7 linked regions of the Macaca mulatta genome follow. The protein of the gene in region 1 purifies or fractionates together with the protein of each later gene. This does not show direct contact. Links are inferred from orthologs where the notes say so. Each region holds a gene or a part of one and is shown in the gene's direction. Other genes may lie near its edges. The genes, in order: LGALS3BP, CUL7, TUBGCP6, MYCBP2, FBXO45, HSP90AB1 and CAD.

The links.
Region 2: the proteins of LGALS3BP (region 1) and CUL7 purify together in Homo sapiens (affinity purification with mass spectrometry; 3 studies listed by BioGRID and IntAct, with this or other methods). This does not show direct contact. The link is inferred for Macaca mulatta from reciprocal best matches to the Homo sapiens genes LGALS3BP and CUL7.
Region 3: the proteins of LGALS3BP (region 1) and TUBGCP6 purify together in Homo sapiens (co-immunoprecipitation; 4 studies listed by BioGRID and IntAct, counting the BioPlex papers as one, with this or other methods). This does not show direct contact. The link is inferred for Macaca mulatta from reciprocal best matches to the Homo sapiens genes LGALS3BP and TUBGCP6.
Region 4: the proteins of LGALS3BP (region 1) and MYCBP2 purify together in Homo sapiens (co-immunoprecipitation; 3 studies listed by BioGRID and IntAct, counting the BioPlex papers as one, with this or other methods). This does not show direct contact. The link is inferred for Macaca mulatta from reciprocal best matches to the Homo sapiens genes LGALS3BP and MYCBP2.
Region 5: the proteins of LGALS3BP (region 1) and FBXO45 purify together in Homo sapiens (co-immunoprecipitation; 3 studies listed by BioGRID and IntAct, counting the BioPlex papers as one, with this or other methods). This does not show direct contact. The link is inferred for Macaca mulatta from reciprocal best matches to the Homo sapiens genes LGALS3BP and FBXO45.
Region 6: the proteins of LGALS3BP (region 1) and HSP90AB1 purify together in Homo sapiens (affinity purification with mass spectrometry; 3 studies listed by BioGRID and IntAct, with this or other methods). This does not show direct contact. The link is inferred for Macaca mulatta from reciprocal best matches to the Homo sapiens genes LGALS3BP and HSP90AB1.
Region 7: the proteins of LGALS3BP (region 1) and CAD purify together in Homo sapiens (co-immunoprecipitation; 3 studies listed by BioGRID and IntAct, with this or other methods). This does not show direct contact. The link is inferred for Macaca mulatta from reciprocal best matches to the Homo sapiens genes LGALS3BP and CAD.

The regions. Positions count from the first base shown.
Region 1 is NC_133421.1:88,655,255-88,658,978, reverse strand, and holds the end of LGALS3BP (galectin-3-binding protein), read left to right. Parts: intron 1-866; coding exon 867-1,119; intron 1,120-1,381; coding exon 1,382-2,507; 3' UTR 2,508-2,818; downstream 2,819-3,724.
Region 2 is NC_133409.1:139,085,179-139,089,372, forward strand, and holds part of CUL7 (cullin-7), read left to right. Parts: coding exon 1-95; intron 96-1,505; coding exon 1,506-1,688; intron 1,689-1,953; coding exon 1,954-2,060; intron 2,061-2,149; coding exon 2,150-2,332; intron 2,333-4,070; coding exon 4,071-4,194. UniProt on the Homo sapiens protein: Core component of the 3M and Cul7-RING(FBXW8) complexes, which mediate the ubiquitination and subsequent proteasomal degradation of target proteins. Core component of the 3M complex, a complex required to regulate microtubule dynamics and genome integrity.
Region 3 is NC_133415.1:1,217,101-1,221,294, forward strand, and holds part of TUBGCP6 (gamma-tubulin complex component 6), read left to right. Parts: intron 1-1,174; exon of another isoform or gene 1,175-1,751; coding exon 1,752-1,925; exon of another isoform or gene 1,926-1,980; intron 1,981-2,101; exon of another isoform or gene 2,102-2,387; intron 2,388-3,161; coding exon 3,162-3,283; exon of another isoform or gene 3,284-3,381; intron 3,382-4,110; coding exon 4,111-4,189; exon of another isoform or gene 4,190-4,194. UniProt on the Homo sapiens protein: Component of the gamma-tubulin ring complex (gTuRC) which mediates microtubule nucleation.
Region 4 is NC_133422.1:72,122,417-72,127,313, reverse strand, and holds the start of MYCBP2 (E3 ubiquitin-protein ligase MYCBP2), read left to right. Parts: upstream 1-1,641; 5' UTR 1,642-1,730; coding exon of another isoform or gene 1,731-1,814; 5' UTR 1,815-1,943; coding exon 1,944-2,245; intron 2,246-4,897. Other genes in the region: uncharacterized protein LOC144336168, read left to right, coding at 1,731-1,814. UniProt on the Homo sapiens protein: Atypical E3 ubiquitin-protein ligase which specifically mediates ubiquitination of threonine and serine residues on target proteins, instead of ubiquitinating lysine residues.
Region 5 is NC_133407.1:2,112,052-2,116,245, forward strand, and holds part of FBXO45 (F-box/SPRY domain-containing protein 1), read left to right. Parts: intron 1-923; coding exon 924-1,280; intron 1,281-4,194. UniProt on the Homo sapiens protein: Component of E3 ubiquitin ligase complex consisting of FBXO45, MYCBP2 and SKP1. Functions in substrate recognition but also plays an important role in assembly of the complex.
Region 6 is NC_133409.1:137,866,358-137,871,237, reverse strand, and holds the start of HSP90AB1 (heat shock protein HSP 90-beta), read left to right. Parts: upstream 1-1,547; 5' UTR 1,548-1,647; intron 1,648-3,046; coding exon 3,047-3,193; intron 3,194-3,805; coding exon 3,806-4,012; intron 4,013-4,115; coding exon 4,116-4,275; intron 4,276-4,458; coding exon 4,459-4,592; intron 4,593-4,725; coding exon 4,726-4,880. UniProt on the Homo sapiens protein: Molecular chaperone that promotes the maturation, structural maintenance and proper regulation of specific target proteins involved for instance in cell cycle control and signal transduction. Undergoes a functional cycle linked to its ATPase activity.
Region 7 is NC_133418.1:97,742,981-97,745,842, reverse strand, and holds the end of CAD (multifunctional protein CAD), read left to right. Parts: intron 1-320; coding exon 321-533; intron 534-724; coding exon 725-850; intron 851-1,052; coding exon 1,053-1,208; intron 1,209-1,304; coding exon 1,305-1,406; intron 1,407-1,630; coding exon 1,631-1,725; intron 1,726-1,838; coding exon 1,839-1,941; 3' UTR 1,942-2,215; downstream 2,216-2,862. UniProt on the Homo sapiens protein: Multifunctional protein that encodes the first 3 enzymatic activities of the de novo pyrimidine pathway: carbamoylphosphate synthetase (CPSase; EC 6.3.5.5), aspartate transcarbamylase (ATCase; EC 2.1.3.2) and dihydroorotase (DHOase; EC 3.5.2.3).

The DNA.
Region 1 (3,724 bases):
GCCCACATGGGATGGACAAATGACTGGAGCTAAGCCTGGACTCACAGTGCGGGAAGCCCACGAGATGCCATGGGGCTGTCGGGGGCCGGGGGAGGCCAGGCGGAGCATGCGGGGCTGTGGGTGCCGGGCAAAAGCTCCTGGGGCAGGAGAGCTGTGGTGAGGCGTGCAGGTGGGAGGCAGCTGGGGGTCCTGCAGTGGTTCAGGTTTTAGGAGGCCCAGGGCAAGCCCACCTGGTTGAAAGGTCATGGTTACTTCAAATCTATTATATTTGTGACAAAGAAAAAACTATGGGATTTCGTTTTGAGTTAGGCTTTGAGAGGGGCTCAAAGAAGGGGGGAGGGTATACCACACTGACCCCTGACCCGGGAGCCTCCCATGACTTCTGCAGGTCTTGTCCCCCACAGGAGGCTGCTCGAGGACCCCCAGAGTTCTAAAATGGGGTTGCCACAGGACCCTCACTTTTCAGGCCATCTAAGCAGGCAGTGGTTTTGGTTTGAGAAGGGCAGTGTCATTGGTGGTTGATGACTGAGGCTGGGGAGTGGGGCTCCAGAGTCAGCACCACCAAGTCTCCCTGCAGAGCTGCTGCCTGAATCGGGGGAGCAGCACAGAGCAGAGGGCCTAAAGCGGGGGCCTGGACAGGCTTGGCCAGGTCCCAGCTGCTCTTGTTCCCCAGGGCTGGAAGGGGTGGGGCCTCACGGCCCAGGGATCCGACACTTTCGGTCTCTCCTGTCCCTTATCTTCCCAGGAGCCTTCCAGAGTGGATGAGGCAGCCACGAACCCCCCACTTTCAGATGAAGACGCTGCCCCCAGAGAGTGGCAGCGTCCCGGCTCCTAACGTAGCCTGCTTCCCTCCCGCCCCTTCTTAGAAACCAGGAGCACCCACACCCTGGACCTCTCCAGGGAGCTCTCGGAAGTCCTTGGCCAGATTTTTGACAGCCAGCAGGGCTGCGACCTGTCCATCAGTGTGAGTGTGCAGGGCGAGGACGCCCTGGGCTTCTGTGGCCACACGATCATCCTGACTGCCAACCTGGAGGCCCAGGCCCTGTGGAAGGAGCCAGGCAGCAATGTCACCATGAGTGTGGATGCCGAGTGTGTGCCCATGGTCAGGGACTTTCTCAGGTGAGCCGTCTCGTCCTCAGGCTCTGGGGCTGCCAGGGGCTTTGTCCTCCTCCCTGCTTCAAAAGCACACCCACACACACGCACACCTGCACACACTCTTGCATGCACATGTACCGTTGTCACACGTGCGCTCGCGCAGTTGCACACACACGCATGCTCGCTCCCACGCTGTGCACACTCGGGTGGCTGTGTTGGACAGGCAGGCTCAGGGCTCCCCTGCTGTCCTGTGGGGCTGGCATCCACTCTCCCTCTTTCTCCCCAGGTACTTCTACTCCCGAAGGATCGACATCGCCCTGTCGTCGGTCAAGTGCTTCCACAAGCTGGCGTCTGCCTATGGGGCCAAGCAGCTGCAGGGCTACTGTGCAAGCCTCTTTGCCATCCTCCTCCCCCAGGACCCCTCGTTCCAGACGCCCCTGGACCTGTATGCCTATGCACTAGCCACAGGGGACACCCTGCTGGAGAAGCTCTGCCTGCAGTTCCTGGCCTGGAACTTCGAGGCCCTGACACAGGCCGAGGCCTGGCCCAGTGTCCCCACAGACGTGCTCCAGCTGCTGCTGCCCAGGAGCGACCTGGTGGTGCCCAGCGAGCTGGCCGTACTGAAGGCCGTGGACACCTGGAGCTGGGGGGAGCGCGCCTCCCATGAGGAGGTGGAGGGCTTGGTGGAGAAGGTCCGCTTCCCTATGATGCTCCCTGAGGAGCTCTTTGAGCTACAGTTCAACCTGACCCTGTACTGGAGCCACAAGGCCCTGTTCCAGAGGAAGACTCTGCAGGCTCTGGAATTCCACACGGTGCCCTTCCAGTTGCTGGCCCGGTACAAAGGCCTGAACCTCACCGAAGATGCCTACAAGCCCCGGATTTACACCTCGCCCACCTGGAGCGCCTCTGTGACGGACAGTTCCTGGAGTGCACGGAAGTCACAGCTGGTCTATCAGTCCAGACAGGGACCTTTGGTCAAATATTCTAATTACTTCCAAGCCCCCTCTGACTACAGATACTACCCCTACCAGTCCTTCCAGACCCCACAACACCCCAGCTTCCTCTTCCAGGACAAGAGGGTGTCCTGGTCCCTGGTCTACCTCCCCACCATTCAGAGCTGCTGGAACTACGGCTTCTCCTGCTCGTCCGACGAGCTCCCCATCCTGGGCCTCACCAAGTCTGGCGGCTCAGATCGCAGCATTGCCTACGAAAACAAAGCCCTGATGCTCTGCGAAGGGCTCTTTGTGGCAGACGCCACCGATTTCGAGGGCCGGAAGGCTGCGATTCCCAGTGCCCTGGACACCAACAGCTCCAAGAGCACCTCCTTCTTCCCCTGCCCAGCAGGGCACTTCAACAGTTTCCGCACGGTCATCCGCCCCTTCTACCTGACCAATTCCTCGGGTGTGGACTAGATGGCGTGGCCCAAGGGTGGTAAGAACCCGAGAACCCCAGGACGCCCTCACTGCAGGCTCCCCTCCTTGGCTTCCTTCTTCTCTGCAACCACCATCAACAACCGTCCACCAGATGTCCCCCTACTCCCCTGAGCTCTCAGCTTCAAGAAGACTTCCACTCGTGTCCGCCAGGAGTTCTCCCACTGCCTCACCAGGTTCCAGGTGGTAAGCACCAGGGCGTCCTCGAGGTCGCTCTGGGGTCCCCCCACAGCCCCTGGTCAGTCTGCCCTTGTCACTGGTCTGAGGTCATTAAAATGACATTGTGGTTCCTACATTTGTTTGTACAGAAAGTGTTGTTGGGTCTATACCGTGTTTAGACATCAGGTGTGCCAGGCTCTGGGGGGCAGGGAATGAGGCAGAGTCCCTGTCCTTGTGAAGCTACTGGCTAGCGGGGAAGATGGAACAGGAAGCACACCTCCCAGCCCGGAGCAATGACACAGTGGGACACGAGCAGGAGGGTGCGCGTCACTGCACACGTGCACGTGGGTGTGTGATTGTGTGGGCATAGGCGTGTGTGTGTTCATGAAAGTCTGGCTGTGACGGGTGCCCTCACCCCTTATCTGGATGGGTGTGCTTTATTTTATTTTATTTATTTATTTTTGAGACGGAATCTTTTTTTTTTTTTTTTTTTTTGAGACGGAGTCTCGCTCTGTCGCCCAGGCTGGAGTGCAGTGGCCGGATCTCAGCTCACTGCAAGCTCTGCCTCCCGGGTTTACACCATTCTCCTGCCTCAGCCTCCTGAGTAGCTGGGACTACAGGCGCCCGCCACCTCGCCCGGCTAGTTTTTTGTATTTTTTAGTAGAGACGTGGTTTCACTGTGTTAGCCAGGATGGTCTCGATCTCCTGACCTCGTGATCCGCCCATCTTGGCCTCCCAAAGTGCTGGGATTACAGGCTTGAGCCACCACGCCCGGCCAAGACGGAATCTTGTTCTGTCGCCCAGGCTGGGGCGTAGTGGTGCGATCTTGGCTCACTGCAACCTCCACCTCCCGGTTTCAAGCGCTTCTCCCGCCTCAGCCTCCTGAGCATCTGGGACTACAGGCACCCGCCATCATGCCCGGGTAACTTTTGTATTTTTGTAGAGATGGGGTTTCACCATGTGGGCCAGGCTGGTCTTGAACTCTTGACCTCAGGTGATCCACCCACCTCGGCCTCCCAAAGTGTTGGGATTCCAGGCGT
Region 2 (4,194 bases), on another chromosome or scaffold:
CCGCTTCCTCCCTGACGACGAGGCTGCCCAAGCTCTGGGCAAGACCTGCTGGGAGGCCCTGGTCAGCCCCGTGGTGCAGAACATCACCTCCCCTGGTAACCATCCTAACACCTGGACCCATTACTATCTCAGGGCTTGGCTCCACTAATTAGCTCCTTCTTGCTCTACCCTAGAACCACCTGGATTATGTTCTGGCCCTTTTGGCACCTGCATTTGTAATCCCAGTGCCGTCTTCTCATAGCCCAGGGGCTGCCCCCTTTCCTATGTCTCTCAAGTATCAGCTGACACCATAAGTGCAGAAGGTACCTTGTTACCCACTCCCTTATCATTCTTTTCATATCTTTTTTTTTTTGAGACAGAGTTTCGCTCTTGTTACCCAGGCTACAGTGCAATGGCGCGATCTCAGCTCACCGCAACCTCTGCCTCCCGGGTTCAAGCAATTCTCTTGCCTCAGCCTCCTGAGTAGCTGGGATTACAGGCATGTGCCACCATGCCTGGCTTATTTTATTTTATTTTATTTTATTTTTTTGAGACAGTGTTTCGCTCTTATTGCCTAGGCTGGAGTGCAATGGCGCAATCTCAGCTCACTGCAACCTCCGCCTCCAGGGTTAAGCAGTTCTCCTGCATCAGCCTCCCAAATAGCTGGGATTACAGGCATGGGCCACCATGCCCGGCTAATTTTGGATTTTTAGTAGAGATGGGGTTTCTCCATGTTGGTCAGGCTGGTCTTGAACCCCAACCTCAGGTGATCCACCTGCCTCAGTCTCACAAAGTGCTAGGATTACAGGCGTGAGCCACCGCGCCCGACCCACACCTAGCTGATTTTATATTTTTTAGTAGAGATGGAGTTTCTCCATGTTGTGAGGCTGATCTCGGAAACTCCTGACCTCAGGTGATCCGCCCACCTCAGCCTCCCAAAGTGCTGGGATTATAGGCATGTGCCACCGCGCCTGGCCTTTTCTATTTTTTTTAATGTTTATTATTTTTATTTATTATTATTATTTTTTTGAGATGGAGTCTCACTCTATCGCCCAGGCTGGAGTGCAGTGGTGTGATCTCGGCTCACTGCAAACTCCTCCTCCCAGGTTCATGCCATTCTCTGGCCTCAGCCTCCCAAGTAGCTGGGATTACAGGCACCCGCCACCACGTCTGGCTTATTTTTGTATTTTTAGTAGAGACGGGGTTTCACCGTGTTAGCCAGGATGGTCTCAATCTCCTGACCTTATGATCTGCCCACGTCGGCCTCCCAAAGTACTGGGATTACAGGTGTAAGCCACTGTGCCCAGCTTGTTTATTTATTATTTTTAAAGATGACCAGGCCGGGCTCAAACTCCTCTCATTTCAACCTCCCAAAGTGCTGGGATTATAGGCATAAACCACCCTACCTGGCCCCTCCCTTGTATCATTTCGTCCAGTTGCTCTATCTCTACACTCCTGTTCAGCCCAACCTCTCCCACTTCCCTGCAGACATGGCTGTGCCTTGGTTTGTTTTTCTCACCCTCTAGATGAGGATGGCGTTAGCCCCCTGGGTTGGCTGCTGGAGCAGTACCTGGAGTGTCAGGAAGCTGTCTTCAACCCCCAGAGCCGCGGCCCAGCTTTCTTCTCGCGGGTGCGCCGTCTCACTCACCTGCTGGTGCATGTCGAGCCCTGCGAGGCACCCCCTCCTGTGGCGGCCACTCCTCGGCCCAGTGAGTAGTGGGGATTCAGGTGGGGAGCTTCTAGTCAGGAGCATTTTCCTGGGCCCCACGTGTACACCATAGACTTCTGTCCATCCCCATCCTTCCCCTCCTGTTGGCTCAGCCTGTTCATCTTCCAGGTTTGTGTCACCTCCATCCATGAACATCACTTTGGGTGGCAGCATGTCAGGAAAGGCCTCAGGGCACCCCCTTGGATAGCGACTGGAGTGGAGGGGCTGCCCACTCCTTGCCTCTGCCACTTTCTTGATCTCCACAGAGGGCAGAAACAGAAGCCACGACTGGAGCTCCTTGGCTACCCGGGGCCTTCCAAGCAGCATCATGAGAAACCTGACGCGCTGTTGGCAAGCCGTGGTGGAGAAGCAGGTGGGCAGGAGCGGGCCTGGGGGAGAGAGGGGACACCAAAATGGTGGCATGTTGGGTTGTGTCTTCATGCTCCTGCCCCTTCCTTCCAGGTGAACAATTTTCTGACCTCATCCTGGCGGGATGATGACTTTGTGCCACGCTACTGTGAGCAATTTAATATTCTGCAGAACTCGAGCTCTGAACTGTTTGGGCCGCGGGCAGCCTTCTTGCTGGCGCTGCAGAATGGCTGTGCGGGAGCCTTGCTGAAGCTCCCTTTTCTCAAAGCTGCCCATGTAAGCCTCCACCCTTGCTGCATCCTTGGGTCTCTTCCTACAAACTCTTCCTTCCTCGCCTCCTCCAAATGACCCACCCTTCCATTCCCATTCTATGATGAACATATGTTAGTATATAGCCATGTTATAAGAAGCTTAAAAAATTGGCTGGGTGTAGTGGCTCACGCCTGTAATCCCAGCACTTTGGGAGGCCAAGGTGGGTGGATCACAAGGTCAGGAGATCGAGACCCTCCTGGCTAACATGGTGAAACCCTGTCTCTACTAAAAATATAAAAAATCAGCTGGGTGTGGTGGCACACACCTGAAGTCCCAGCTACTCAGGAGGGCAAGACAGGAGAATCGCTTGAACCTGGGAGGCGGAGGTTGCAGTGAGCCAAGATCATGCCACTGCACTCCAGCTTGGGTGACAGAACAAGACTCGGTCTCAAAAAAAAAAAGTTTAAAAAATAAATAGTGGCCAGGTGTGGTGGCTCACGCTTGTAATCCCAGCACTTTGGGAGGCTGAGGCAGGCAGATCACCTGAGGTCAGGAGTTTGAGGCCAGCCTGGCCAACATGACCAACATGACCAAACCCTATCTCTACTAAAATTACAAAAATTAGCCAGGCATGGTGGCACATGCCTGTAGTCCCAGCTACTTGGGAGGCTGAGGCAGGAGAATTGTTTGAACCCAGGAGGTGGAGGTTGCAGTTAGCCGAGATTGCACCACTGCACTCCAGCCTGGGTGACAGAGCTAGACTCATCTCAAAAACAAAACAAAACAAAAACCACAATTGATGAACTAAAATGCAAGCAGCACCCTGGAAAGCAGGGTAAAGAGCAGCAGGAGCATGAGGCTCCTTGTGTAGCCTCCAGTCCTAGTTTATCAGTAACTAGGCTCAATCTTGGCTCAGCACAACCTCCACCTCCCGGGTTCAAGCAATTCTTCTGCCTCAGCCTCCCAAGTAGCTGGGATTATAGGCACAGGCCACCACAAAAATTAGCCTGGCCAATTTTTGTATTTTTAATAGAGACAAGAGTTTCACCACGTTGGTCAGGCTGGTCTCGAACTCCTGACCTCGTGATCTACCCACCTCGGCTTCCCAAAGTGCTAGGATTACAGGCATGAGCCACCACTCCTTTCCCTTCCCCTTTCCTTCCTTCTTTTTCTCTCTCTCCTTTCTTTTTTTTTTTTTTCTCTCCCTCTCTTTTTCTTTCTCTTTCTTTCCTTCTTTCTTGACAGGGTCTTACTCTCTCCCAGACTGGGGTGCAGTGGTGCAGTCACAGCTCACTGCAGCTTCAACTTCTTGGGCTCAGGTGGTCCTCTCAGCCTCCTGGGTAGCTAGGACCATAGGCATGTGCCACCATGCCCAGCTAATTTTTTTCGTATTTTTAGTAGAGATGGGGTTTTGCCATGTTGCCCAGGCTGGTCTCCAACTCCTGGGCTCAAGCCATCTGCCTGTCTCGGCCTCCCAAAGTGCTGGAATTACAGGCGTGAAGTGCGCCTGGCCTTATTTTCTCATTTTGAATGATTATTATTAGTTTGAATTTTTAGACACAATGAAAAGACACTTTCCATAATTGTTAATATTGCTAATTTGTACAATGGTTAATGATCGTATATAATAGTTGTATGAAAGCACCAACCACCTTAGGAAGCTGCCAGCATTCATATCTACTTTCCAGACCCTCGTCCCTCCTCCCCACTCACCTGCTCTGCTTGCTTGTTCATGGCTTTCCTGTGCTCTGCCATTGCTCAGGTGAGTGAGCAGTTCGCCCGGCACATTGACCAGCAGATCCAGGGCAGCCGGATTGGTGGAGCCCAGGAAATGGAGAGGCTGGCACAGCTGCAGCAGTGCCTGCAAGCTGTCCTGATTTTCTCCG
Region 3 (4,194 bases), on another chromosome or scaffold:
GGTTTAAGCAGTTCTCCTGCCGCAGCCTCCTGAGTAGCTGGGACTACAGGTGTGCACCACCCCGCCGGCTAGTTTTTGTTTTCAGTAGAGATGGGGTTTTCACCATGTCGGTGAGGCTGGTCTCAAACTCCTCACCTCAAGTGATCCACTTGCTTCCGCCTCCCAAAGTGCTGGGATTACAGATGTGAGCCACTGCACCCAGCCTGTTTTGTTTTGTTTTGTTTTTTGAGACAGGATCACCCAGGCTGGAGTGCAGTGGTTCAAACATGACTCACTGCAGCCTCAACCTCCTGTGCTCAAATCGATCCTCCTGCCGCAGCCTCCTGAGTAGCTGGGACCAGCAGGCCTGCACCACCACGCCCAGCTAATTTTAAATTTTTTTTGTCTTTTTTTTTTTTGAGACGGAGTCTTGCTCTGTTGCCCAGGCTGGAGTGCAGTGGCGCCATCTCAGCTCGCTGCAACCTCCGCCTCCCACATTCAATGATTCTTCTGCCTCAGCCTCCTGAGTAGCTGGGACTACAGGTGTGCAGCACCACGCCCAGCTAACTTTTTGTATTTTTAGTAGAGACAGGGTTTCATCATGTTGGCCAGGATGGTCTTGATCTCCTGACCTCGTGATGCGCTGGCCTGGGCCTCCCAAAGTGCGGGAATTAGAGGCAAGAGCCACCACACCCAGCCTAGAGATGTCTGTGTGTTTTTTTTTTTTTTTTTTTTTTGAGACGGAGTCTCACTCTGTCGCCTAGGCTGGAGTGCAGTGGCACAATCTCAGCTCACTGCAACCTCTGCCTCCCACATTCAACGATTCTCTTGCCTCAGCCTCCTGAGTAGCTGGGACTACAGGTGCACACCACCATGCCCGGCTAATTTTTGTGTTTTTAGTAGAGACGGGGCTTTGCCATGTTGGCCAGGCTTATCACGAACTCCTGACCTGAAGTGATGCACCCGCCTCGGCCTCCTGAAGTGCTGGGATTACAGGCGTAAGCCACCATGCCTGGCCTAACTTAAAATTTTTGTAGAGATGGGGGTCTCGCTATGTTGCCCAGGCTGGTCTCAGACTCCTGGGCTCAAGTGATCCTCCTGCCTCAGCCTCCCAAAGTGCTGGGATTATATGTGTGAGCCACTGTGCTTGGCCTAACAGCTCTTTTTAAAATATCTCTTTAGGATATACACAGTGCTGTTGTGATTTAGTATCTTGTTTCCTTGTAATGTGGGATATCTCTTTTCCTTTCTAACGTGCGTATTTGCAGCTGTAACCTCCCTCCTGGCTTCTGCTGCACCCCGTTCGTTTCGGTTGTCATGAGCCCTCTACTGGGGGTCTCCACTCTCTGGTTACAAACACATTGCGGGGAATGTGCTGTGGCAAGTCTTTGTGCATCTTCCATCGTTTCCGCTCTTTCATCCCGAAGAGTTGAATGAGCGGGTCTCACGGCAAACATGTTTTATAGCTTCTGCCCTAGGAGGCTGTCTGTGTACTTGTGTCCTGTGGAAGGTGTTCTGTTGTTTCCTACCCTTTTCTACACTTGGCATTTTAAACATGTATTTTTCAGTGTGGTGAGAATTTGTGCCTTGTTTTGGTTTGTACGTTTTTGTCCCTCAGTGTAGGAGTTCTGGGTGCGCCTTCTGGGTGTTTGCTTTTGGGTCCTGGGGGCACTCTAGGTGGTGTGGGGTTGGGTGCAAGGGTGGAAGGAGATGGCACCTTCCTGGGGGTCTGGGTGCCTGGCCTCTGAGCAGTGTCCTCTACCCCTGTGCAGCCGGCCCAGGCCTTTGTGGTGAAGCGGGGTGTCCACGTGTCGGGAGCGTCTCCCGAGAGCATCAGCAGCCTGCTCTCGGAGGTGGCCGAGTATGGGACCTGCTACACGCGCCTGAGTCACTTCTCTCTGCAGCCGGTCCTGGACTCTTCGTACAGCAAGGGCCTCGTGTTCCAGGTACGGCCTCTGCCTCGTGGCTGTCACACATCCTTGTGAGAACGGTGCACACGACCTGGAAAAGAGAATCTCAGAAGTCCTTCTGCAGGACCAGACAGTCTAAACCTTTTCTTTCCTTGCTAACATCTGAAACCCAATAGTGGCTCATGAGGGATGGGTCAGTGAAGATGTTTTACCTCACTGGAAACCTGGGGCAGATGCGTGTGGGCCCTGGGGTGTGTGGGAGGCAGGTGCAGCCAGCATTCGGGGCATGCGAGGCAGGAAAGGCGTTAGTGGGGCTCTTGCCGCCTGCTCCCCAGTGGGCCCGGCACATTGCGGATGACTGACACTGCCCGGCCCTCGTGTTGGGTGAATTTACACTGCTGGGCGTTCTGAGCCAAGTCTGGCTCCGGAAGCCGCTCTTTGGTGAGTCTTGAAGCTGGCTCATATGCTGAGTAGAGACCCATGGGACAGAGGCTGCACCTTGATTGGGAGAGAATAGGCAGGCGGATGATGGGTAATTTGGGGGCTGAGAGGAGGGTGTTCGGAAGGTGGGCAGAGAGCACTGGAGGAGCCAGGCGGCGCAGCCTCCTTCAACTGTTGCTGCCACAGCAGGGGCTGTAGGGTGGGGTGATGTGGTGAGGTTTAGGTTTTAGACGGGCTGCGGAGGTGGGCATGGTGGGAGCTGCATGGGACGGGGAGAGCTTCTAGGCAGAGGCTCAGGCCTGGGGGACTTGAGGGCTGCAGATGGTGGAGAAGGGGGCAGAGCAGGGACACTGAGAAGGGCTGGACTGTGGTTCCCACTCATCTGGCAGGCGTGGCCAGGAGGGTTCTGGGGTGGGTGGACTGAGATTGGTCCAGGGTGCGCCTGTCTTGGTGTGACCTGCAGGGCCTGCTGCTGTGGCATTGCCCAGGATGCTGGTGCCACTGAGACCACTGTGGTCCGAGCAGACGCAGCTCTCACAGCACTAGTGTCTGTGCACAGAGCGCAGCCGCCATTTCCCCCCTCACCCCTCAACCCCTATGCCACGCCCCTGGGGCAGCTGGTCTCAGATGAGAGGAAGGGTTGGTGGGGGGGGCCACATTTCCACCTGGTCCAGTGGTGGGACGTGGCTCACAGAGGCCCATTGCTTGGAAATGGAGCCCAGAGCTGAGGCAGGAAACAAAGCGCTGTGCCCAGTACTGGTGCCCCTCAGGCCCTGGTCACAGCTGCGTCCATGTGCTTGGCCGCCCTCCTCCCAGCCTCTTTGCCCACAGGCCTTCACCAGTGGCCTGAGGAGGTACCTGCAGTATTACCGGGCCTGCGTCCTTTCCACTTCGCCCACCCTGAGCCTCCTCACCATTGGTTTTCTCTTCAAGAAACTGGGCCGGCAGCTCAGGTGAGCCTCAGCATGGTGACTGAGCAGGGGACTTTGCAGGAGTGGCATGGAGCCTGCTGGGTGATGGAGGGTTTGCTCTGCTTCCTGGCAAGGAGGGCCTGTGAGAACAGCCCTCAGCAGGTGACTGGATGGCCCTTGGCTGGCCGAGTTCACCAGGTGCCAGGCAGAGTGGGTGTGTCTCCCATGGGCCTACCACAGCTGGCCCCATCCAGGCCCTCCAGGCCTGGTGGCTCCTGCCTAATTGGCACACAGGGTCCCTAGGGATGTGGCTTCTGGTACACACAAGCTGGTTACTGAGCAACCAGGCTGGGGAGCTACTGGCAAGTGCTGTCAGACGAGGAAGAGTGAGGAGTTGGGCGTTGGGAGCAGTGGGAGAGGCGACCTTCCAGGCAGAGGAGCAGAATGTGGCAGCCCTGAGGAGACCCAAGGGCTGAGACACCGTGGGGCAGGGGAGCCTGGGCTGTGAAGGCGCGAGTTGTGGCAGGTGCTTGGTGCCACTGTGTGGATGGGAGGGGCTCTCAGGTGCAGCCCCCGGAAGTGGGAGGATCAGGGTGATTAGTGTGTTGGCCAGAGCCTGGGAGGGAGGGGCCTGTTGGGTGTGGGTACTTCAGTGGGTCTGTGTGGACAGTGCAGAGGCCCAGGGCTGGGCACAAGTCCTCCAGGGAGCCCATTTCTGGGTCGCTGGGGTGCATGTGGTTTTTAAAGACTGCATCTGAAGTCAGTTGCTCCACGGAGCATGAAGATACATGGAGATTTTGCTCATGATCTGATCCAGGCCTGGGGACCCTGAGCCCGGTCACCTGGTCTGATCCTGCCTCTGGGTCTAGGTACCTGGCCGAGCTCTGTGGCGTTGGTGCTGTGCTCCCAGGCACCTGCGGAGGAGGCCCCAGGGCTGCGTTTCCCACCGTGAG
Region 4 (4,897 bases), on another chromosome or scaffold:
AATTCCAGGGCTGTCTGATTTCAGAACCTTTTAGCTACCCTGCTAGGTCTTGCAATAGTAATGGGCCCTCTCATTGCTTACCTGTCAGGCCTTAGAATTCTTAGAATTTAGCTGCCTCTACACCATTGTCTTGGCTCTCACTCCAGGGTGAGGGGCTGCCTGGTCAACACTGAGGTCTTGAACTGTGCTGAAGCATTAGGATAGAAATTTAGTCTAATAAATACTTACTGGATACCTAGTACGTGCAAAGTCCTGAAGTGGCTGAAGAAGACACAAAAACAACAAGCTCTGAAGGAACTTAAGATAGGTAAGGAGACAAGACAAGTAACAAAAACTTAACAGGACTAATTACAGTACTAAAATGCTATGATTCCACATGTCTGTCCTTTGTTCCTATGTTTATCCCACTGTTAATTATCTTTAAAAAAATTTAAATGAAATCCATCTATTATTTAAAGCTTCAGAAAAAATGCATTGCTTTCAGCAACCTTCAACCCTAAAACTCGAATTACTTTACTTTCTTATTCCCTGTTGTTTGCACTTCTCAAACACTAAGGAGGATTTTTTTAAATTTTTTTTTTTTTTAAGAGAAGGCCATCCAAAGAAGAGGCACAGATATAAGAACTAGTACATAGATGAAAGATACAGTACGGGGATGATAGAACTTATAAATTATTTTGTCAGGACTATAAATTAGGCAACTAATTGAGAGTCAAAGGATAAAAAGGTAGTAGGAATCAAGGTGCATTGGCACGTATATTTCTAGAGCATACACTTAGACGGGGTTCATAGGTTAGTTTGGAACAAAGGACTGAGCACATGTTCCTTTATAGATAATAAGATCTGTGAGGGATCTGACATTTTCAGATGCTATACAGTCTCAGTCACAATTATTGTTGCAGATCACATTCAAGAATTATCTTTAAAAATGTAAGTTTGGGCAGAAAAAAATAAACAAGTAAATGGCCACTGCCAAGAGATAAAAATGCACTCTTAGGTGAGTGAGGAGTCAACAAAAAGAGTAATTTAAAAAATATTATTGCTCTGTTGAGAAGAAGAATTTGGGAATGATTCTGGCTTATAAATACTAGCCTATCTGTTAATTCTACTTTCACACACAAAAGAATGTGCTAGATTACTACCTCTCTTTGTAAGTAAAAGCTATGTTAAACAAGCTTAAATCCTAATGACAGAAACCATCTAAAATAAGATCTCTAAAGGCACTTCTAATTGGGATGGTTTTCTCTGTCTTAAACTCTGAATTAACCAGCACAGTGCACAGGAAATCTTCCTGTTGGCAGCAGAGCCTTGGGGAGGAGGTAGCAGGAGTGCGTGTCACTCCTCCTTGGTCGATGGGCACGTTCCCTCTTGCTTTCTGGTCCTTGTTCTTCCACCTGGAGGGAACCTGAAGTCAGACGCCAGCAGCTGATAGCCTCCCCGGCACTTTCCTTACTCTTCCTTAAGCTGCCAGTAAAACCCGGAGAAGTGGATTGCTTCGGATTCCGCACCACCCAACCGCCCCAAACCCAAAGCCCCGAGGCGGAGGGAGTGGTGGCGGAGAGGGGGTGGGGAGGAAAGGGGGCTGCAGTTACTGAGCATGTGCGAGGAGTGGCGCATGCTCTGTGAGGCCGGCAGCTTCCCATTGCGGGTAGCCCCGGCGGTGGTAGCGGTGGTGGCGGCGGCAGTGGCGGCACCGCCTCCTCCTCACACTCCCGGGGTGGCGGGGTTAGATGAGCGGCCCCAGTAGCGGCGAGGGCGGCGCGGGGGGGAGGAGGAGAAGAAGGAGGAGGAGAAGAAGGTCGCTGTCTTTGTAGTCTCCCTGCTGCGGGAGCCAGAGGCCGCCGCCGGAGCCGTCGTCGTTGGAAAAGGGCTGTGTGTGCGCGCGCGTGTCTGCCCGCCCGGCCCGCGGGGACGAGGCGGCGGCGGCGGCGGCGGCGGCGAGGATGATGATGTGCGCAGCGACTGCCTCCCCCGCCGCCGCCTCCTCGGGGCTCGGCGGGGACGGATTCTACCCAGCCGCCACCTTCTCTTCCTCCCCGGCGCCGGGGGCGCTGTTCATGCCGGTTCCCGACGGCTCCGTGGCTGCTGCAGGGCTGGGGTTGGGGCTACCCGCTGCGGACTCCCGGGGTCACTACCAGCTGCTGCTGTCAGGCCGGGCCCTGGCCGACCGCTACCGGAGGATTTATACAGCTGCGCTCAATGACAGGGACCAGGGGGGCGGCAGCGCTGGACACCCAGCCTCCAGGTGCGTCCCCAGGGTGCCCTTCCTTGCTCCCCATGCCGCGCGTGCACCCGCGTGTGTGTGTGCGTGCGTGTGTGTACTTGCGCATTTACTGAGCTTTCAACCCGCTCTGGATGTCGGCTGGTAGGAGCGCTTATCGAGATAGGAGGGTGCGGTGGCTGCAGTTTCTGCTCTAAGTGTGTGTGTGTGCGCGCGCGCGCGCGCGCCTATGTGGGGGATAGTGAGGAGTGGCAGGGGAGCCTGTGATCCTGGAAAAGGCGATGGTGCTGGTCGGCTGTGACACGTGTGTGTATCATTGAGGTAGGAGGTGGCATGGGTAGAGAGGGTAAGAGGATGATACACGAAGAGAATGGCAAGAGTGGCAAAGGAAGTGGCATTTTCAGTGTCTCTGCCGCAATGTTATTCGCACGTGCCCCCTCTCCCATGACATTCCTTCCAGCCCTTTCCACCTCCCTTCAATCTGCCTTTCACGAGTCATGGTATAGATTGGTTGAGCTTTGGATAGGCAGGCCCGAGGGATAGGCGTGAGGTCTGGTTTGAAAAGATTTATGGATAAGAGACGCAAAAGACGGAGATCTATGTAGATGCGAAGGGTGTCTGATAGAGATTTTTAGAGCTGTACTTTGATAACGGGGCCGTTTGGTCTTCTCGAAATGAGGTTGCAGTTACTCTTGTGATCTGATGTCCCATCGGCCATTTCTCTTCATCCTCTGTTCGATTTCCTCTGTTACTTACGGGCTTTAGAGTAGAGAGGGTTTTGTAGGGAAAAGGGGAAAACTGCAGAACTTCAGAATATGACAGCTGGTACAGCGTTCAACGGCCACTAGCTAGAAAATCTGAATAGCGCGTAGATCTCTCCCTTTTACTTAGGCTCACTACACCTTCAGCTTCCTTGATGTAGATGTTCAGTTAGTTTCATTTTCTTTTTGTTAAAATGTGGGTGCTTTTTTTTTTTTTTTTTTTTTTTTTTTTTGCTGAGGACTCTCCTATTGTTTTCTTTTCCATGCCCTTGCATGCCGCATACCCTGCAGGATGGTGACTGACTTGTTCCACCAGCTTTGACAGTGGTAATTGGGAGTTGGCTTCATCTTTTTTTCCCACAGCTTCTTGCAGTACATGGGGAAAACATAGTAGGAAACTGTCAAAATGAGTTAAAGAGTTTACTGTTATTTTTTGAATGTGCAACTTACTAGGCAATTGTTAGATGTCTTTTTCTGCCATTATGAAAGGGAGGAGGCAGTAAGTCAGGTATTTGTAGTTTATCACTATGTATTATGGCTTATCTGTTGGAGAGAGTTGTAAAGATGGAGCTTTGTTCACGCTTTTTCTAGGTTAACCAGTCTTTTCATGTCTGTGATTGTTTACAGGATTGGGCACAGGAGTAGTTTTACCATATGGATGTAAACGTATGTAACTACTTTTTGCTATCTGAACTGAAGGCCAGAATGGTGCAAGTTTGTTTTTGCTAATGTTTTTGAAAATAGCACAAAACCACATGAGACAATTTGCTCTGATAATTAGGTATAATTTTGATCTGTAGATCTCTAAATTATGGCACCGCAGGAACATCTTTACAAACTCCTCTTAAAGAATTTAGATTTATTTTGTGTATGGTTTCCAGACTTAATAATTTGTGACTGGTATATTCCTGTTTTGACTTTCTACTACTAGTGTAATATGATTTCTGTGTATCTAGAACTATATTAACAGTTTTAGACAAAATTAACATAGATTAATCACATAATATTTGTGAATGAATTTTTAGCCTTTGGTCCATTTTTGTACAAGCTGTCAATGAAAAGTAATGAAGAATTAGTTCAAGTATTTCAAGAACTACTCATGGAAATCAGCCTTACATTATGATATTGCCTGCTAATGCTTGTTCAACACATTATTGTTTATTAAAGTGCACATTATTTTATTACAAAAAGTAGCCTGCAACTACTCTATTGATGATTTGATTAAGAATTAAATCACATTTCTTATTAAAGATGTTGGGGAAAGTAGAACTGGGGTTTCAACTCTGAATGAATGATAGAATTATTTGTATAGGGACACTAGTTGAGTTAGAGGAGAAGATGAGATCATTTAGACTGAATGGAGGAAGAATAGAGAATGACGCTCTAGTGAGCATCAGGTTTAAAAGTGTGAGAGAAAGGAGACAGTGAAGGAAACAAAATCAAAATTAAGAAGAAAATCATGAGACAGTAGCCTCTGTGGCTCTAGGAGAGTGGATTGAAAATTCTCAGAAGTGGTAAATGTTGAAGAAAGTGAGAACAGTGTTCAGGTGATTGATAACTTTTGAGGAAGTGGTGAGAATAGAGGGATGTGGTGAGGAGTGAATGGAATGTGTTTTTGGTAACTCAAGGGGATTTCAAAGTTGAGGGAAGGATATTCAAATATAGGAGGTTGGGTGGGATATGCAAATGTGGGAGGCTAAATGGAGAGACAGAGTGAAGAAGTGAGAGGGGATAATTGATAGGAAAAGGTCAAAGGGATCTCAGGGACAGAGTAAAGGTGGCAGGTGGGGAGGTTAGCCATTGAAAAAAGGAGCAGTTAATATAGAAGGAGTGGAGGTAAGTACTTGTAAATACAAAGACTGGGAGTTTATTGAGGATAGGAATCATATCCTGTTCGTTTTGAAAATCCCAATGT
Region 5 (4,194 bases), on another chromosome or scaffold:
GACAGCGACCTTGTCTAAAAAAAATTTAAAATACACAAACTAAAAGTTTAAAATTGTTCATGAGAAATTGTTATTGTTTGTATGAAAGAGCTATTTTCATACCCTCTTTATTTTGGAAGTGTAAACTTTTGTTTTTGCTGAAGAGTCAACTAAGTTGTCTTATTGATAGCTTCTCTTTATAAATTCTAGTTACTTGAATCTAGATGCTATCTAGGGGATTATTTGATTTGGTAAAATGAGATTGGTGATTTTTTGTTTATTGTGTAAGTCATACCTGGCAAGCAGGCTGAGGATCTAAAGTAGTTTGTGTTTACTAAAATTTTTCATAAACTTTAGAGTTGCTATGATTAAAGTTTCTATTTTATGTAAAATATAATTATTTTTGATGACAGCATTGCCCATATGAAAACTATGTCTCAACTTTTTGATATAAAAATATCAAATATAAACAAAAGTAGAGAAAATAGTTTGATGAACTTCCTTATACGTATCACCAAGCTTTGCCAATGATTAATTTATGGCCAGTCTAGTTTCATATTTATATTGCACACTTTCCCACTCTATCTCTGGATATTTCAAAGCAATTCCCCCAGATATCATTATTTTATCCATAAACGTTTCAGTATTATCTCTAAGATATAAGGTTTTTTTTTTTTTTTTTTTTTTTGGTATCTTTTGATGTTTTAAGAAGTCTGTTTGAGGAAATACTACAATTTAAAATTTTGGTCAGTGATGAAACGTTTGGCAGTTACTTTTAATGTTATTTATTCTGTTAGTATCCCATCCTGAAACTTTAGCCATTATTTGGAAATACTTGTGTTTTTTAAAATATATAAGTTCATTATTTAAAAACATACATCCTGAAGTTTTTAATATTTAAGAAAAATAACGTTATTTATTTGGTCTATTTTTCATCTTTTTAGATACGTGCTTTTCAACATGCCTTCAGCACTAATGACTGCTCCAGGAATGTCTACATTAAGAAGAATGGCTTTACTTTACATCGAAACCCCATTGCTCAGAGCACTGATGGTGCAAGGACCAAGATTGGTTTCAGTGAGGGCCGCCATGCATGGGAGGTGTGGTGGGAGGGCCCTCTGGGCACTGTGGCAGTGATTGGAATTGCCACGAAACGGGCCCCCATGCAGTGCCAAGGTTATGTGGCATTGCTGGGCAGTGATGACCAGAGCTGGGGCTGGAATCTGGTGGACAATAATCTACTACATAATGGAGAAGTCAATGGCAGTTTTCCACAGTGCAACAATGCACCAAAATATCAGGTGAGAAACGGGTTTTTCTCAAGTATGGGCCTTTGTCAAATCATGCTTTAATTTGTTTTAAATTTACAAATTTTCGTATAGCAGTTTTGTTTTGTCTTTTTGGTAATTTTTATTATTTTTTATTTTTTCAAATACCAAGACTTCAAGTTTTTTTTTTTTTTTTTTTTTTAAATGTTAGGAGGTTATAGTTAATTTTGTTGGGTGTTATATTTTGATTTTGGCTATGCAGGAAAATATTCTTTTTTTTTTTTTTTTTTTTGAGACGGAGTCTCGCGCTGTGTCACCCAGGCTGGAGTGCAGTGGCGCGATCTCGGCTCACTGCAAGCTCCGCCTCCCAGGTTCACGCCATTCTCCTGCCTCAGCCTCCGAGTAGCTGGGACTACAGGCGCCCGCCACCACGCCCGGCTAGTTTTTTGTATTTTTAGTAGAGACGGGGTTTCACCATGTTAGCCAGGATGGTCTTGATCTCCTGACCTCGTGATCCACCCGCCTCGGCCTCCCAAAGTGCTGGGATTACAGGCTTGAGCCACCGCGCCCGGCCTTTTTTTTTTTTTTTAAGAATCTCGCTCTGTCACCCAGGCTGCAGTGCAGTGGTGTGACCTCAGCTCACTGCAACCTCCGCCTCCCAGGTTCAAGCAATTCTCTGCCTCAGCCTCCCGAGTAGTTGAGATTACAGGCACCTGCCACCATGCCCAGCTAATTTTTGTATTTTTCATAGAGATGGGGTTTAACCATCTTGGCCAGGCTGGTCTTGAACTCCTGACCTCGTGATTCACCCGCCTTGGCCTCCCAAAGTGCTGGAATTACAGGCGTGAGCCACCACGCCCGGCCTCAAGGAGATTTTTTGACAGTTTTTAAATAAATATGTAAATGATCTTTCTCAATATGTGTTTCCTAATACAAGTTTAAGCAGCCTATCTTTGCTCCAGATCAGGGGTTGGCAAACCTTTTGGTAACGGCCAGGCAGTAATATTTTAAGCTTTGCAGTCCGTATGGTCTCTGTCACAACTTTTTTTTTTTAATGTCATTTTCAAGGTAAGGATCTGTCACAACTTGCAACTCTATAGTACAAAAGCAGTCATCGATAATACGTAAACGAATGAACGTGGCCGTATTCCACAGACCTTGTTTGTGGGCTGCGGGACAGATTGGGTCCAGGGGCCGTAGTTTGCCAGTTCATGCTCTGTATCAAGCTTGTCCACCCCACAGCCTGCAGGTAGCCACGATGGCTTTGATTGCCACCCAATGCAAATTCATAAACTTTCTTAAAACATTGTGAGAGTTTTTTGCAATTTTTTGTTTTTAAAGGTGATTGCTGTCTTTAGTGTTAGTATATTTTATGTGTGGTCCAAAACAATTCTTCCGTTGTGGTCCAGGGAAGCCAAAAGATTGAATACCCCTGCTCTAGATGGTCATCTTTCCTATATCATGGCACTTCCACATCTTTTTCTAGGCTCCTTACCCCAGTAAGTACATCTCTGTGGATGCACATGCACCATACCCTCCGCCTGCGGATTCAGAGCCCCTGGAGGCATCAGTGATTTCTGTAGAGACAGGCAGATTCAGGCAAACTGCTGTATTTTTTATTCTTTTCATCTTAGGCTTAAGGCATACTCATTTGACTCAAGTTAAAATTATAGTCCTATTTGTAAAAGCCATATTTATTACTATAGACCCAGCAGGGTGTAATATATAATAATCTGATAAGAAATTGGAAGTCTTTAAAGAACTATAGGCTGCATATTTCAGAGCCACATGTGGCGTGAAAGTTCCAGCCTCGGTAATGACCTCAAGTCAGGCATACTGAACCAAAGAACCAAAACTACATCCTATTTCCTGAGGTATAAAAGCTGGAAGGATTTTTTTTTCATAGAATGTTTCCTCACTATCCTTTTAGGCTCTGCAGATACTATAAGGAGAAGGGTGTGTAGACTTTATCACTAAAAAGAAAGTCCTATCACTTACCCTTGTGATGATTTTGTAAGTGAAAGCCCTTACTTAAGTCTATGTTTTTCAGAGAACATGCTTATGGTTTCAGTCCTTTTAAATTTATTGAGATTTGTTTTATTCTAATATGTGGTCTTTCTTGATGAGTGTCCCATGTGTGCTTGAAAAAATGTATATTCTTTTGTTGAATGGAATATTTTGTAAATGAGAATTAGGTGAAGTCGATTGATAATATTTAAGTCTTATATAGTGTTACTGATTTTTTTTTACCCCTTCTATCATTACTGAAAGGAGTATTGAAATCTCCATCTATGCTTACCAATTTGTCTCTTTCCTCTTTTAGTTCTGTCAGTGTTTGCTTCATGTATTTTGGAGCTCTGTTACTACTGGTGCATATACATTTCTAATTGTTATATCTCCCTGCCTGATTTATTCTTTTATTATGAAATGACCTCCTTTGACTCTAGTAATCCTCTGTCAGTCTGTCTTTGTATTTAAAGTGGAGCTCCTACACAGCATATTGTTGGATCTTGATTTTTATCTAACCCAGTCTCTGTCTCTGACTTTTTTTTTTGAGATGGAGTTTCACTCTTGTTGCCCAGGCTGGAGTGCAATGGCATGATCTCGGCTCACCGCAACCTCCGCCTCCCGGGTCCCGGTTCAAGCAGTTCTCCTGCCTCAGCCTCCTGGGTAGCTGGGATTACAGGCATGCGCCACCTCACCCAGCTAATTTTTGTATTTTTAGTAGAGACAGGGTTTCACCATGTTGGCCAGACTGGTCTCGAACTTCTGACCTCGTGATCCGCCCACCTCAGCCTCCCAAAGTCATGAGATTACAAGCGTGAACCACCATGCCCAGTGAGACGGGGTTTCTCCATGTTGGTCAGGCTGGTCTCGAACTCCCAACCTCAAGTGATCCACCTGCCTCGACCTCCCAAAGTGCTGGGATTACAGGCGTGAGCCACCT
Region 6 (4,880 bases), on another chromosome or scaffold:
TGACAGGGACAAGGAAGAGGAAAGCAAGGGACGTCCTTTTTCTTTGGTATTCAACACATGAACAAAGCTTGTTAACGAATGTAGACTGGGTAACAACAGGGCTGGTGAGGGAGGACGACGTGGGTGGCTGTGGGGAAACTCTTCCCAAGCATCCTAGGGGTGGGCCAGGAAGGGGACTAGATGGACATCTACAGGGCACAGAGCAGGGAGCGGCTATTCTCTCCTGGAGGGGCTGTGGGTCCAGCAGGCTTTCGGATGACGCCTTGGAAAGGCAAGGACAGCTTGCCGACTGGAGGGCAGGCAAAAGGGCGGAGACAGGCCAGAGACGGCGGCCGCAGTTCACTGACCAGGAGTATGGCCTAGGGGTTCTGGTGCCAAGGCTGAAGGGGAACAACTTGGCCAGCCGCTCTCTGGCCGGCGTCTTCACGCGGCCTCCAAGAGCTCCTGTTGCCCTGCAGTGGCTCCTAGAGACTCCCTCCTTCCCACGTCCAAATAGCTGCAGGAGGGAAGTGGGAGAAAAAAAGCGAACCAGCTTGAGAAAGGGCTTGACGTGCCTGCGTAGGGAGGGCGCATGTCCCCGTGCTCCGTGTACGTGGCGGCCGCAGGGGCTGGAGGGGGTCCCTCCCGTAGCGACTCCAGTCTCAGAGTGCAAAACGGTACGCCCGCAGAGTCGCCCCAGGTGCTTGGGTGTTGTGTGATTGACGCGGGGAAGGAGGGGTCAGCCGATCCCTCCCCAACGCTCCATCCCATCCCTGAGGATTGGGCTAGTACTCGCGTCGTCTCCGACAGGTCAGAGCCGGTCCCCGGGTGGGGTCGCTGCAAAAACCCTGCTCTGGCCGCAGCCGGAGAGGCGGAGCCCCGCGGGGAGGGGGCGGGCGGGGGCGGGACCGCCGAGACAGGCCTGGAAACTGCTGGAAAGCCGCAGCGCCGCCGCGCCTTCCGCCGCATGCCGGCAAAGAGTCCCGCCGGCCCCGGCCGGCGCCCTCCCCCCACGCTGAGATACCCCACACTGCGAACCCTCCGCCCTTCCTCTGCTCCTGGGAGAGTCAGGATCTGGGGCTAACCAAGGTCGGGTCCCGAATGCCAGTCCCTCTGTCGGGATGCGAAATGTGTAGGGCATATGCTAGGAAGAAGATTGGGTATGGGAGCAGCGGTCGGAGTGGTTAGCTGCCTCGGCTCTTTTTAGGTGTTTCCCCCGGGCTCTGTCCTTGGGTGTGGGGACTCCTGCCTCACAGGTTTTTAGGGAGGTCAATGGATTCCTCGCCCGTAGAGACACCGTATATGCCAAATGAGCACTCCTTATCCCAGCTCTTGATGGGGTCAGGTCCTAGACATGAAGATATGGGGCTGTGATCACAAGCAAACGTGTGGGTGGATCCGTTGCTTGGGTTCTTCCCCGCCCCCTCCTTTTTTCGGACCATGACGTCAAGGTGGGCTGGTGGCGGCAGGTGCGGACTTGACAAGCATGCTCCTTTAAGGCGGAGGGATCCACGGGAGGGCGGCTGTTCTGTGCTTCGCCTTATATAGGGAGACTTGGGGCACGCAGTAGCTCTCTCTAGTCACTCCGGCGCAGCGTTTTGTGCCTGGTAGTCATCAGAAAGCAAGCCCACGTTCTTCTCTAATACGTGTAAGCCTTTTCTTTTCAAGGTAAGGCTGAATTCTTCGTTAGGCTTCTTTAGTGCTCTTTCGTGTTGCTCTTGTTTTTTTCTGTCCTTTAGGGAGCCTAGATACCGGGGTGGCTTGTGGATAACGCCCTGGATTTTTATAGGGTGAGGGTAGTGGTAGGTGAGGGCTCTTGAGTTTTCCTCGGTTTTCTCTAGTGTGCTTGGGCGGTGGGGCTTTCTCTTGGCTCCTCCTAGCCGTAGCGAGGTGGGCTGTGGGGCTGGGGCAGTGCGCGGCGGGCAGCTGCACGTGGTGGCCGCGCGGCCCGGGACGCTGCCATTTTTGCCCCTCCACTTCCGGACGCGGCTATAGGGCGTCGGAGGGGGACCGCAGGATGGCGGGGGTGCCTGCTCGGGTGACTCAGCACGGCCCTGTGGGACTGGCTTTGCCACATCTCTTATCGGACGCGTTGTTAAAGCCGCCTTGGGTGCTTTGTTTCTGTGAGGGTTCATGGTGTGGGAGGAGCGCTTTCGGTCTCCAGCACCCCATACTCCCTCCTTCCAGATCTTTATTGCAGTCCCGGTGGAGGAGGGTTGGGGAGGGGGGCAGGTTCTGGAAGATTCATGGGCTCCCTCCTCCGCCCGTCCTCTAGAGCTGAGATTGTTCTGGAAGCTTCTGGATTCTGGCGCCCCGCCCCAGTGCCCGGATGCTGGGGCGAAGGAGGGTGCACGGCGGCGCCCCCTCCTCGCGTGGTCCCTGCCGACGCATGTCCGGCAGTGACGAGTGTCGGCCTGGTGGTTACGGCCACCATCTTCCTTCTGTTGGGTTTGGGCCTGTTCTGTAATTTTGTCCTGTGAAGGGGTCGTAGTGGAGCTTTTGGCTTATCGATTCTTTGTCCGGATTTAATTGCCCCTCGGGCGGGTATCCTCTGGATCCCAGGTTATTCCTCCCTGCAGTGTAGGGTAGGAGTGTCCCGCCCTTGGGCTGGTCTTAGGAAGACATCTCAGGGGGAGCAGTTTAAAGTTAGTGCCAAACTAGTTACTTTGATCTCCAAATGAAGAACTGTAGGTAGCGATTTTCACATTTAAATTTGTGTAAGGATTATCTGGGATCTCTGGATACCTGGGTTGGACCAGCATTATGAGTTTCTGCCATACTACCGGATGACGCTGAGACTGCTGGTCACCACTCTAAGTAGCTGGGTTCTGTGACATTTGGTTGAAGAACATTCAGCTTATTTTCTTTTTCCTTCTGAATTTTCAGGCTTCCCACTTAGTGTGTAGCCTGAGATCTTTTAAGAGAATGCTTTTTCGGTCTTTTCGGAAGGGATAGTACTCAGGTCAAACCAGTCTCAACTCTTAAGGTCCTAACAAATGAGATGACCTTTAGGATTTTAAAATGTGAGGCCTTCATGTTTTGTAATTAATGATCATTTTTATTTTAGATGCCTGAGGAAGTGCACCATGGAGAGGAGGAGGTGGAGACTTTTGCCTTTCAGGCAGAAATTGCCCAACTCATGTCCCTCATCATCAATACCTTCTATTCCAACAAGGAGATTTTCCTTCGGGAGTTGATCTCTAATGCTTCTGATGTAAGTGCTGTGGTTTCTATATTTGGTGTGTTTATTTTTTTGACACTCTTCGTAGAGAGGAAAGGAGTGGTTTGGCCTTTGTTGGGGACTACTATTGAAGGGGGTAAACTTGCAACTATTCCAAAAAGATTTGTCTTATTCTCTGGCCATCTTGAACTTGAAAGGGAAGTGACTATGTCCAGAAAAAGTGGGCTCATGTAACTAACTGTAGTTCTAAAGCCTCAAGATAAGGGGCAATCAGATTTGAGGCTGAGAGAGGTAAACCAAGATTTTCTTTGAAGACACGGGCTTTAAGAAAGCAAAAGTGACCGAGCGTGTTGACTCACACCTGTAACGCCAAGGCAGGAGGATCACTTGAGCCTAGGATTTCGAGGGCAACCTGGGCAACAGCCAGACCTTGTCTCTGCAAAAAATTAAATATTAGTTGAGCACAGTGGCATGTGCCTGTAGTCCCAGCTACTTGGGAGGCTGGGGTGGAGGATGGCTTGAACCAGGGAGGTCAAGGCTGCAGTGAGCTGTCATCCTTGCTACTACTGCACTGTAGCTTGGGCAACAGAGCAATTGCCTGTCTCGGAGAGAGCAAAAGTAAGTTGCTGTTTGTATTCGTTTCAGGCCTTGGACAAGATTCGCTATGAGAGCTTAACAGACCCTTCGAAGTTGGACAGTGGTAAAGAGCTGAAAATTGACATCATCCCCAACCCTCAGGAACGTACCCTGACTTTGGTAGACACAGGCATTGGGATGACCAAAGCTGATCTCATAAATAATTTGGGAACCATTGCCAAGTCTGGTACTAAAGCATTTATGGAGGCTCTTCAGGTACTGCAGTTCTGTAGGCATACACCATTCATATTCATCAGTGTTCTTTATTTTTTTTGCTGCTTTAAATTTTGTGTTTGACTTTACAAAAACTTGTTGGCAGGCTGGTGCAGACATCTCCATGATTGGACAGTTTGGTGTTGGCTTTTATTCTGCCTACCTGGTGGCAGAGAAAGTGGTTGTGATCACAAAGCACAACGATGATGAACAGTATGCTTGGGAGTCTTCTGCTGGAGGTTCCTTCACTGTGCGGGCTGACCATGGTAAGTTAGCTTTTCTGTTACAAGGTAGCTGGGTTAGAGTTTTGTGGGCTCACCAGTAGCAGAAATTTTGAGCATCCTGTCAAGCAGTTCTTCATAGCAGTTCCGCTAATACTTTATTAATTTGGTGAAGTCTCAACTGCATATACTTTCGTCCTGTTACACGCTTATGATTGACTCTTCTAGGTGAGCCCATTGGCAGAGGTACCAAAGTGATCCTCCATCTTAAAGAAGATCAGACAGAATACTTGGAAGAGAGGCGGGTCAAAGAAGTAGTGAAGAAGCACTCTCAGTTCATAGGCTATCCCATCACCCTTTATGTGAGTATGGACTTTTAAACCTTTTACACTTAGCCTGCAGGATGTTTCCTGTTCTGGAGAATCTCGTGGTCCCTGGCTGCTTCTTTTCCTGGTGTTTTGTACTCCAAGGCTAATTTCTGTTTTTCTTACTTAGTTGGAGAAGGAGCGAGAGAAGGAAATTAGTGATGATGAGGCAGAGGAAGAGAAAGGTGAGAAAGAAGAGGAAGATAAAGATGATGAAGAAAAGCCCAAGATCGAAGATGTGGGTTCAGATGAGGAGGATGACAGTGGTAAGGATAAGAAGAAGAA
Region 7 (2,862 bases), on another chromosome or scaffold:
AGGCCCTGAGCATGAGACCATCACCCCACTAGTGGGGTCTTCTGGTCTGGGCTGCTGCAATCACAGGAGAGAGCTAGGGTATGTCCTCCTTCCCCGGCTCATTCAAACACTTAATGATGTGGTTTTCTGGAGGCAGAGCCTTTAGCTCAGAGTGACACCAGTGTTGGAAACGTCAAGGCTCTGACAGGTCACAGGGAAGGTTTAGGTGCAGAAGGGTCCTCACAGCGTCCCTCAAATATCACTTGGGGTGGTGGTGCCCACCTGTGGTTCCCCCAGGGTGGACACACATACGTGCACCTTCCACCTTGCTCTCTCCCCAGGGGAAGGTCATGGCCTCCATGTTCTATGAAGTGAGCACACGGACCAGCAGCTCCTTTGCAGCAGCCATGGCCCGGCTGGGAGGTGCTGTGCTCAGCTTCTCGGAAGCCACATCGTCTGTCCAGAAGGGCGAATCCCTGGCTGACTCCGTGCAGACCATGAGCTGCTATGCTGATGTCGTCGTGCTCCGGCACCCCCAGCCTGGAGCAGTGGAGGTGAGGCCAGCCTGGGTACTGAGATGGGGTTAAGAAGGCTGGACCCAGGGACTTGAGAACCCTTCTACCCACATTTTCTGTGACTGCAAGTCTCAGGTTGGGCCAGATGAGTGAGGGGACCCCGGAAGAGTGGGACTGACAGTTGGGGGGCCTCTGAGCTGCAAAAGACAGGATTTTCCCCTTTTTTCCAGCTGGCCGCCAAGCACTGCCGGAGGCCAGTGATCAATGCTGGGGATGGGGTCGGAGAGCACCCCACCCAGGCCCTGCTGGACATCTTCACCATCCGTGAGGAGCTGGGAACTGTCAATGGCATGACGGTGAGGGTGGTGGCAGGGGTTGGGGCCCTGCCAGGGGACGATCTAGAGAGGGAGGCAGGAAGTGGTTACCCTGGTCCAGGACAGCTGCATCAAGGAGGCCTTCATTCTGCTCCAGGGACTTTTAAAAGCTTGGAAATGATGTAGCGGGGGGTGGGGGGGAACCCAGTCTGGGATCCCTGTGGTGACTGGGTTCCTCCCCTAGATCACAATGGTGGGTGACCTGAAGCACGGACGCACAGTACATTCCCTGGCCTGCCTGCTCACCCAGTATCGTGTCAGCCTGCGCTACGTGGCACCTCCCAGCCTGCGCATGCCACCCACTGTGCGGGCCTTTGTGGCCTCCCGCGGCACCAAGCAGGTGAGACCCTCACAGCCCAGCCTGGAGGCCATGGAGACGTGGGTTGGGCAGTCAGAGCCCAGTGCTGCATCCACCATGGCTCTCCTCACCCTCCAGGAGGAATTCGAGAGCATTGAGGAGGCACTGCCTGACACTGATGTGCTTTACATGACTCGAATCCAGAAGGAACGATTTGGCTCTACCCAGGAGTATGAAGCTGTGAGTGCTGGGCTTGAGGAAGAAGCCAGGGCTGCTGCCATAGGGCATCAGATATGAGGACAGAAAGGCTGGGCTGAGGGCTGGGTCAGAGCTATTAAACCTCATGTCCGTTAGTTGCCATAGCTGCATGTGGATGTGGAGGGGGCCACAGTGGAGTCCAGACTTGTGTCCTCTGTAGCCACTCCTACCCCAAGGCACTAACGGGGACCCCATCTGCCTTGCAGTGCTTTGGCCAGTTCATCCTCACTCCCCACATCATGACCCGGGCCAAGAAGAAGATGGTGGTGATGCACCCGATGCCCCGTGTCAACGAGATAAGGTGGTGCAGCATCAGAGTTGGAGACTGCCTCGGGTCTGGTGGAGGGGAGGAGACTTAGTCCTGGACAAGCCATCCATGGCCTGCACGATAACTTCCTTTTTTTTTTATTGCAGCGTGGAAGTGGACTCGGACCCCCGCGCAGCCTACTTCCGCCAGGCTGAGAATGGCATGTACATCCGCATGGCTCTGTTAGCCACCGTGCTGGGCCGTTTCTAGGGCCTGGCTTCCTCAGCCTCTTCTCTTTAGGCCCAGCTGCTGGGCAAGGAATTCCAGTGCCCCCTACGGGGGCAGCACACTTAGATATTCTTGGACATCCAGATAGCTCACATGTGCTGACCACACTTCAGGCTCTGGATTGGAGCTCTCTGGCATGGGGGTGGGGCCTCAGATGCTGGGGCCCAGTCTGCCCTATCTTCATTCCTGCACCTTAAACCTGTACAGTCATTTTTCTACTGACTTAATAAACAGCTGAGCTGCCCCTTGATGCTGAGTGTAGTAGAACGGAGCTTTCTTTTAGAAAAATTGGCCGGGCGCAGTGGCTCAAGCCTGTAATCCCAGCACTTTGGGAGGCCGAGATGGGCGGATCACGAGGTCAGGAGATCGAGACCATCCTGGCTAACACAGTGAAACCCCGTCTCTACTAAAAAAATACAAAAAACTAGCTGGGCGAGGTGGCGGGCACCTGTAGTCCCAGCTACTCGGGAGGCTGAGGCAGGAGAATGATGTGAACCCGGGAAGCGGAGCTTGCAGTGAGCTGAGATCTGGCCACTGTACTCCAACCCGGGTGACAGAGTGAGACTCCGTCTCAAAAAAAAAAAAAAAGAAAAATTGAGCAGATTCCCAAATGATAAGAGCAGCCTCACCAGGCAGGGCTCTGGCTAGGGCAGTGTGCCCACACTCGGCATTTTCACACTCGTGGCTCTTTGGGACTCAGCGGGAGCATGTTACTCTGTGCTGAGTCCTGTGTCGTGCTAATGCCAGAGCTTACCTGGAGGCTCTGGCTGGTGTCCCAGTCCTTCTTCCTCAATTCTGTTGACTCAAAGACTTGACAGAGTTCTGCCCTCTTTCTGACACTGGGAAAACACTCAACAGGGTGAAAGGAAGGCTGAGCACTGCGGCCTGTCTGAAGCCGGGCCT